Linked DNA regions of Neurospora crassa OR74A. The protein of the gene in region 1 interacts with the protein of each later gene in a pairwise test. Links are inferred from orthologs where the notes say so. Each region holds a gene or a part of one and is shown in the gene's direction. Other genes may lie near its edges.

Region 1 (3,529 bases):
AGGACACTCTACGAGCAAAAATCCGAGGCGGTGAGACTGGCGGCATACAATGCTGCTGCTGAGCTTGTCTTCGTCGCCCCTGAGACCATGACTCCTCGCATTGTTGACCTCATTCAACAAAACCTCAAGGTTTCCGAGGTCCAGTCCGTTGGCCCTCTCGAGGCGGCCATCTTCCGTACGCCTGAAGGAACCGCCTTCGTCGATGTGCTGGCCAAGAAACAGAACGTCGTTCCTAACAAGAATGATCCCAACTACCATACCCTGAAGTGGGAGGAGGAGCTTCGTGAGCAGATTGCTCAGAAGAAGGGAGTGCAAAAGAAGCTTACAGCGGAAGAAAACGCCAAAGTCAATGCCCAGCTCAAGAAGGAAGCGGAGATCCGCGAGAGCGTTAGGCACGTCGCGGCCAACCTCTTGCGTGGCTTTGGCATTGTCAAGGCTCTCGCTACTGGTCCTCCCACTGATGCCAGCCGCTGGATGGGTCCCGCGGTCAAGGCTACCCTTAGTGTCATCGATGCTGGTGCAACTCTCATCACCGGTGAGGCCGGTCCTCTGGCTTTCATCTCCTGCTCAGAGTGCGTCACGTCTCGTGTTGGCCCTATCCGCCCCTTCATTGGTGTCGCTACCCTCAGGGCGCACAATGTTTCCGCGCTGCCTGAGAACCTTACCGAGGAACCTTTTGACGATCTTATCACTCGTGCTCTCTATCGTCTCAGGTTCGCCGGTGAGCAGCGCCCGTTCGATGTCATCTCACTCATCTACATGCTCCCGCTCATCCTCCTCGTCCTCGAGAAGGGTGGCTTCGGTTCTAATGCCGATGACAAGGATGCCACGCTCGTCCTGGCCATCGAGTTCCTTTCCTTCCACACCGATGTCTATGCTGACGAGGCCACCCCACGCGCTGAGATTCTTTCCACGTTGATCACCTCGATGCAGAACTACAACCAGCACTACAAGATCATCAAGGACTGCTTCTCCGACATGGTCCGCTGCATCGCTCCCAACATTTCTGCTGAGGAGATTGCCGTCCTTTCCCGCGGTGCCATTGTGCCTCAGGTCGCCGTTCGCACTGCGGCTCTACAAGCCATCAGTTCTGATGTTGACATGAGCGAGCTCTCCACCTCGGAAGAGATCTGGCTTGCTTGCCACGACGATGTCCCGGAGAACGCTGACCTTGGTCGTGATATCTGGGAGGAGAGCGAATTCCAGGTCACCGAGGAACTTGCCTTCAAGATGCTGCCCTACTTGGAAAGCAAGGATGGCCAGCTTCGCCGTGCCGCTGCCAAGGGCCTTGCTGAGGCACTCGGGCAAAACCTCTCTGCCGTCAACCCCATCCTTGAGAAGCTGAGGGAGTCCTACACTGAGCTCGCCAAACCTCGTCTTCCCGAGCTTGATGAGTTTGGCATGCCCAAGAAGAAGGACCTTTCTGACCCCTGGGAAGCGAGACAAGGCCTTGCCCTTGCCTTCCAGGGTATTGCACCATTGCTCCAGAAGAACCAGCTCGAGCCTTTCTTTGCCTTCCTCATTGACAACGGCCCCTTGGGTGACCAGAACGGTAACGTCAGAGCCCAGATGTTGGAGGCTGCCAACACTGCCATCGAGATTCACGGCAAGTCCATCCTGGACAAGCTCATGAAGACTTTCGAGAAGACCCTTGAGGCTCCCGACAAGGGCACTGCTTTCGCGGATCGTGTCAACGAGGCTGTCATCATTATGTACGGTGCGCTGGCCCGCCATCTCAAGCACGGCGATGCCAAGATCCCTGTGGTTATTGACAGGTTGATTGCCACCCTGAGCACCCCTTCTGAGACTGTCCAGTATGCTATCGCCGAATGTCTCCCACCACTTGTCCGCACCTGCGGAGACAAGTCCAGCAAGTATATCGAGCAGGTCATTGAGACTTTGATGACTTCCAAGGATTACGCTGTCCAGCGTGGTGCCGCCTACGGTCTTGCTGGTCTTATCCTTGGCCGTGGTGTTAAGTCGCTTAAGGAGCACCGCATCTTGATCACTCTCAGAAGTGCCCTCGAGAACAAGAAGGAGGTCAACCAGCGCGAGTCTGCCATGATTGCTCTGGAGCTTCTGTCCACCATCCTCGGCAGACTCTTTGAACCCTACGTCATTCAGATCGTTCCGCAACTGCTCGCTGGCTTCGGTGATAGCAACCCGAATGTCCGTGAAGCCGCGTTGCATGCTGCCAAGTCTTGCTTTGCCAAGCTCAGCTCTTTCGGTGTCAAGAAGATTCTCCCTACCCTTCTCGATGGTCTTGACGAGGACCAGTGGAGATCCAAGAAGGGTGCTTGCGACTTGCTCGGTGCCATGGCCTACCTTGATCCCCAGCAGCTGGCTCAGAGTCTGCCGGAGATCATTCCTCCCCTTACCGCCGTCTTGAACGACAGTCACAAGGAGGTCAGACTTGCCGCCAACAAGAGCTTGAAGAGGTTCGGCGAGGTTATCGAGAACCCCGAAATTCACAGCCTTGTCGACATCCTGCTCAAGGCTCTCAGTGACCCTACCAAGTACACCGACGAAGCCTTGGACGCCCTCATCAAGGTTCAGTTCGTCCATTACCTTGATGCCCCCTCGCTGGCTCTCGTCAGCCGTATCCTACAGCGCGGTCTCGGCGATCGTTCCAACACCAAGCGCAAGGCTGCGCAGGTCATTGGCAGTCTTGCCCATCTCACAGAGCGCAAGGATCTTGTCGCTCACTTGCCTGTTCTCGTTGCCGGTCTTAAGATTGCCATCGTCGACCCCGTGCCGACTACTCGCGCTACTGCCTCTAGAGCCCTCGGATCTTTGGTCGAGAAGTTGGGCGAAGATGCTTTGCCGGACCTCATTCCGGGTCTTATGCAGACCCTCAAGTCCGACACTGGCGCCGGAGACAGACTTGGTTCCGCACAGGCCCTTTCCGAGGTCCTCGCTGGTCTGGGTACTTCCAGACTCGAGGAGACTCTGCCTACCATCCTGCAGAACGTCGAATCCTCCAAGCCTGCTGTTCGCGAGGGTTTCATGTCGCTCTTCATCTTCTTGCCCGTCTGCTTCGGAAACAGCTTCGCCAACTACTTGGCCAAGATCATTCCTCCTATCTTGTCTGGTCTTGCTGATGATGCCGAGTCGATTAGAGAGACTGCCCTCCGTGCTGGTCGTCTGTTGGTTAAGAACTTTGCCGTTAGAGCTGTCGATCTCTTGCTGCCCGAGCTTGAGCGTGGTCTTGCTGATGACAGCTACCGTATCCGTCTCAGCTCCGTCGAGCTCGTTGGTGATTTGTTGTTCAACCTTACCGGTGTCAAGGTCACTGATGGTGAAGATGAGGAAGAGGATATCGAGACTGTCAAGGAAGCCGGTGCTTCTCTCCGTGAGATTCTCGGAGAGGAAAAGCGCAACAAGGTCCTGTCCTCGCTCTACATCTGCCGTTGCGATACCTCGGGTGCCGTCCGCTCCGCTGCTGTCAGCGTGTGGAAGGCTCTTGTCCACAGTCCTCGCATTCTTAAGGAGCTTGTGCCCACTCTCACTCAGCTCATTATCCGCCGTC
Region 2 (4,559 bases), on another chromosome or scaffold:
TTTGTGTCAGCCACAGTCTCGTAACCATCTAGCGAGACACTGGGGAGAAACAGGCGGCGAACGATCCCTTGAGTATCGATTTCTCTCCACAAGACTCAGTTGCGCCGTCTCTGCCCTAATCGTGGGCCGTTCCGTTTTGTCCGAGACACACGAAAGTTGGAACAGACCGACAGCTGTTGGAAACATGCATCTACCTGATTCTGATTCTGATTCTGATTCTGCTCCGAAACATACATATGGCGGCGCCCCGTGACGAGTAGAGAGATAGATAGGTAGGAGATAGGCAGGTCCAAGGGCGAAAATGAAATCTTGTTCATTGAAACTGCGCAAGGGTTTGTGATGTTGAACCACAGCAGACATCCAACAACAATTTAGCCTTGGTAAGACCTGAAAAAACAGCACCGCTCGATGGTGCTATCGCCAGGGTAGGTAGGCAGTGTAGTAGTGGGGATTGGGAATGTCCGCTGGTGACTATCACACATTGTAACCGCATTTTACGCGCGGTTTGTTTTATATTTTGGTTGTCGGCAAGGGGGGGTAATCGCTTACTTACCTACTCGCTTCGCTAACAAATTATCACCGTAACGGGACAGGGCAGGTTAGGGTAGGGTAGGTAAGAGCTTAAGAGGTAGGGATTAGCTCGGCGATAGCTGGTAGACACAGCTGGCAGGCTGAATCAGACGATGATGAGTGATGCTGGTCGCCGTCGGTAATTTGTCTTAGAAAATTCGCCCGAGTTGTCTGGAGTTCTAGGTGAAGGAGACAGACGGACAGCCGGACAGACAAAGAAAACGAATAGAGAATAAGAAGAAGAGATGTCCACCCGCGCGCGGGCAAACACACACACGCACACACCATCGAACCTCCGTCGGTTGCGACATCTGATTTGTTGGGTCGAATCAATTCCAATTTACACGCCCAGTAAAATCCCCTGCTTTTGATGGGCGGCGAAGGACATCAATAGTAGGCGACACCAAAGCGGCTTCGGGCATGTGTGTGCTTTTGCATGTTTGTCCTCCGGGCACTGGGCAGTACGATTCGTACTCGTCAGTACCTAGACGTAGGCAGGGCTCTTTTTGCTCCAATTGCTCCTTCGCGCTTAGTTCTTCTTTCTGTGATAGTGACGCTCCACTCAGTGAGCAAGCAGCGGTTAATTGCTGAAGTGGCTTCTTGGATCGCCCCTGTGTTCAAGATGGTGTAATGGTCAAAGGCAGATGTCTTTTCGATTCAGTGGACATTGGTAGCTATGGTAGTGGGCATTGGTTGAATGCACCACTGTCAGCCGTCTGAAACAAACTCGTAAAGTGTCTAATGGCGTGCCATCATTGGCGAAACTTGCGATGCGGCCCTGGGCCGAGGCCTGGTGGTTTCCAGACAAGTGGACGAAACTCATCGGGGCCATTCAGGATCGTACCCTTCCCTTTTGGAAGGTCTACACTGCTTTATTGCGTACTGCCCGTGCACGATGCGTGTTCTAGAAGGCGGGAAGAATATCCCATGCAAGAAAGCTGGTGCCTGCCCGTGCTGATGATGTTAAAAAGGGAAAGGATTCGATGCCACTGGTGGTAAAGTTTCTCGTGATGATGTTGCTCCTTTTGCGGGCGTTAGCGCTGCTGCACTAACAGTAACAGCTAGCTTCCTCGAGTGCAAACAAACCAATCAGAGCTTCTCCCATGAACCCCACCGTCGAGCGGTCAGTTGGCGGCAAATTCCGCCCCGCGCCCAGAAGAGGGACGAGGGCACCCGGGAGGCGGACCGGCGCCGTGAAAGTATCAAAAGTTGAACTCCACTTTGATATCGCACTCCGACAGGCTACCTACAGCTGCGTTTCAAGATCAAAGGAAACGTGACAAAACGACAGTGTTTGTTTTCACCGTAGTTTGATCAGCGAACTGTCAGACCATCATAGCCAAGATGGAGGCCGAAATCAGGACCGTTCTCCCCAACATCGACCCGATCATCTCCGAGTATTCGGCCGGCTATCTCACCCATGCCTCAACGGCCTGGTCCGGCGATGAGGATGCTACCGGCCCGTCTCCACTCGTCGAGGCCGCTTCCGCCATCACCGACCTGCTGATCTCGGCCTCTGGTGGTACTAATGCCGCCCTGCAGGACAAGATCCGTCAGCTGGTCGACAAGTGGGTGGACAGGTATTCTGCTGCCAACGACAGCCAGGAGAAGAGGGGTCCGGCTGTGAAGCGTCTTGACCAGACTATCCAAGTGAGCGCTCAGAGGAACATCTCGTCGACTCTGGCCGTGGCCACGGGCGGTGTTGATCTTGAGTCGGCCAACGCCAGGAAGGTCGAGTCCAAGGTCGACAAGAAGAAGCTGGAGAAGGCCGAGAGGAAGATTGCGGCCAAGCAGAACAAGAAGACCTTCAAGACGGTCGAGTATGAGGCCTCACGTCTGCTCAACCAGGTCGATCCAGCTCAGTCGTACGAGGAGTTCTACATGGCCGTCAACCCTCTGCAGATGAACGGCTCTTCCGGCAAGACCAAGGACATCAAGATCGACAACATCGACGTTACCATCGGTGGTCTCAGAATCCTGACCGACACCACTCTCACTCTCGCCTACGGCCATCGCTATGGTCTCGTCGGTCACAACGGTGTCGGTAAATCTACGCTTCTTAGAGCCCTCTCTCGCAGAGAGGTTCCCATTCCTACGCACATTTCCATTCTTCACGTCGAACAGGAACTCACGGGTGACGACACGCCTGCCATCCAGGCCGTCTTGGACGCCGACGTTTGGCGTAAGGTTCTTCTCAAGGAGCAGGCCGAGATCATCAAGAAGTTGGCCGACATTGAGGCTCAGCGCGTCGGGTTGGCCGACACCTCAGCCGATGCCGCCAAGCTTGATAGGGAGCGTGAGGTTCAGGACAACAAGCTCGGGGAGATCCAGGGCAAGCTTGCCGAAATGGAGTCGGACAAAGCCGAGTCGAGAGCGGCCAGCATTCTTGCCGGTTTGGGTTTCTCGCCAGAACGCCAACAGTTTGCGACCAAGACGTTCTCCGGTGGTTGGCGTATGCGTCTTGCCCTCGCCCGAGCCCTCTTCTGCGAGCCCGATCTCCTGCTGCTCGACGAGCCGTCCAACATGTTGGACGTCCCCTCCATCACGTTCTTATCCAACTATCTCCAAACCTACCCCAGCACCGTGCTCGTCGTCTCTCACGACAGAGCTTTCCTCAACGAGGTTGCCACCGACATCATCCACCAGCATTCCATGCGGCTCGACTACTACCGCGGCGCCAACTTCGACTCCTTCTACGCCACGCGCGAGGAGCGCAAGAAGGTGGCCAAGCGCGAGTACGAGAACCAGATGGCGCAGCGTGCCCACTTGCAAGCCTTCATCGACAAGTTCCGGTACAACGCGGCCAAGTCCTCAGAAGCCCAATCGCGTATCAAGAAGCTCGAGAAGATGCCTGTCCTGGAACCGCCCGAGACCGAGTACAGCGTGCACTTCAAGTTCCCCGAGGTGGAGAAGCTCTCGCCGCCCATTGTGCAAATGTCCGAGGTTACCTTCGGCTACAGCCCCGACAAGATCCTGCTGCGCAACGTCGACCTGGACGTCCAACTCGATTCCCGCATCGGTATCGTGGGCCCCAACGGCGCCGGTAAAACCACCATCCTCAAGTTGCTCGTCGGCAAACTTTCCCCCACTTCGGGCCTCATCACCATGCACCCCCGTCTCCGCATCGGCTTCTTCGCCCAGCACCACGTCGACGCCCTCGACCTCAACGCCTCGGCCGTCTCCTTCATGGCCAAGACGTACCCAGGAAAGACGGACGAGGAATACCGTCGCCAGCTGGGCGCCTTTGGCATCACCGGCACCACAGGTCTGCAGAAGATGGCCTTGTTGTCAGGTGGTCAAAAGTCCCGTGTGGCCTTTGCCTGCTTGGCGCTCACGCAGCCGCACATTTTGGTTCTCGACGAACCGTCCAACCATTTGGATATCGAGGCCATGGATGCGCTCTCGGAAGCGCTGCAGAAGTTTGAGGGTGGTGTGTTGATGGTTTCCCACGATGTCACCATGTTACAGACGGTGTGCAAGAGCTTGTGGGTGTGCGAGAACGGAACAGTGGAGAAGTTCCCTGGTGATGTGCAGGCGTACAAGAAGAGGATTGCGGCGCAGGCGGATGCGGCGGGAGTTGTTAAGAAGCATTAAGATAAGATAGGATGATGGAAAAGTGGTGGTGGTGGTAGTGGTAGTGGTTGGGTGGGAGGTGTGGAAAAAAATGCTGTTAGATTGTACAAAGCGAAAATCTCAAGGTTGATAAAGCGGTCATAAAGTGTTGTAGATTGTGATGCTCTGTTTCTGTGTTTTGTGTGACTAGGGTAGATTTTGTGCTTCACTTATTCTTCTGCTTCGTGCTTTTGCTGTTGTGAAGTAGCCCAAGGTAAGGAATCATACGGCCATCCTCGGGAACTCTGACTGAACAACCATATATGTAATGGTTGGGTCATTTATAGAGAAGTTTGTTTCCCTGGATGAGGTTGGCCCTCCCTAACTGCAAAAGATCATGACTATGCCAAACCTTTTTTTTTTGGGTGTCCAGCTTC

Evidence for each region.
Region 2: the proteins of NCU05803 (region 1) and NCU04051 interact in binary tests that used the Saccharomyces cerevisiae proteins (3 or more experiments, as listed by UniProt). The link is inferred for Neurospora crassa OR74A from reciprocal best matches to the Saccharomyces cerevisiae genes GCN1 and GCN20.

The regions. Positions count from the first base shown.
Region 1 is NC_026507.1:3,883,313-3,886,841, forward strand, and holds part of NCU05803 (translational activator GCN1), read left to right. Parts: coding exon 1-3,529. UniProt on the Saccharomyces cerevisiae protein: Ribosome collision sensor that activates a translation quality control pathway when a ribosome has stalled during translation. Directly binds to the ribosome and acts as a sentinel for colliding ribosomes.
Region 2 is NC_026506.1:2,567,769-2,572,327, reverse strand, and holds NCU04051 (GCN20), read left to right. Parts: upstream 1-1,749; 5' UTR 1,750-1,914; coding exon 1,915-4,164; 3' UTR 4,165-4,327; downstream 4,328-4,559. UniProt on the Saccharomyces cerevisiae protein: Acts as a positive activator of the GCN2 protein kinase activity in response to in response to low amino acid, carbon, or purine availability.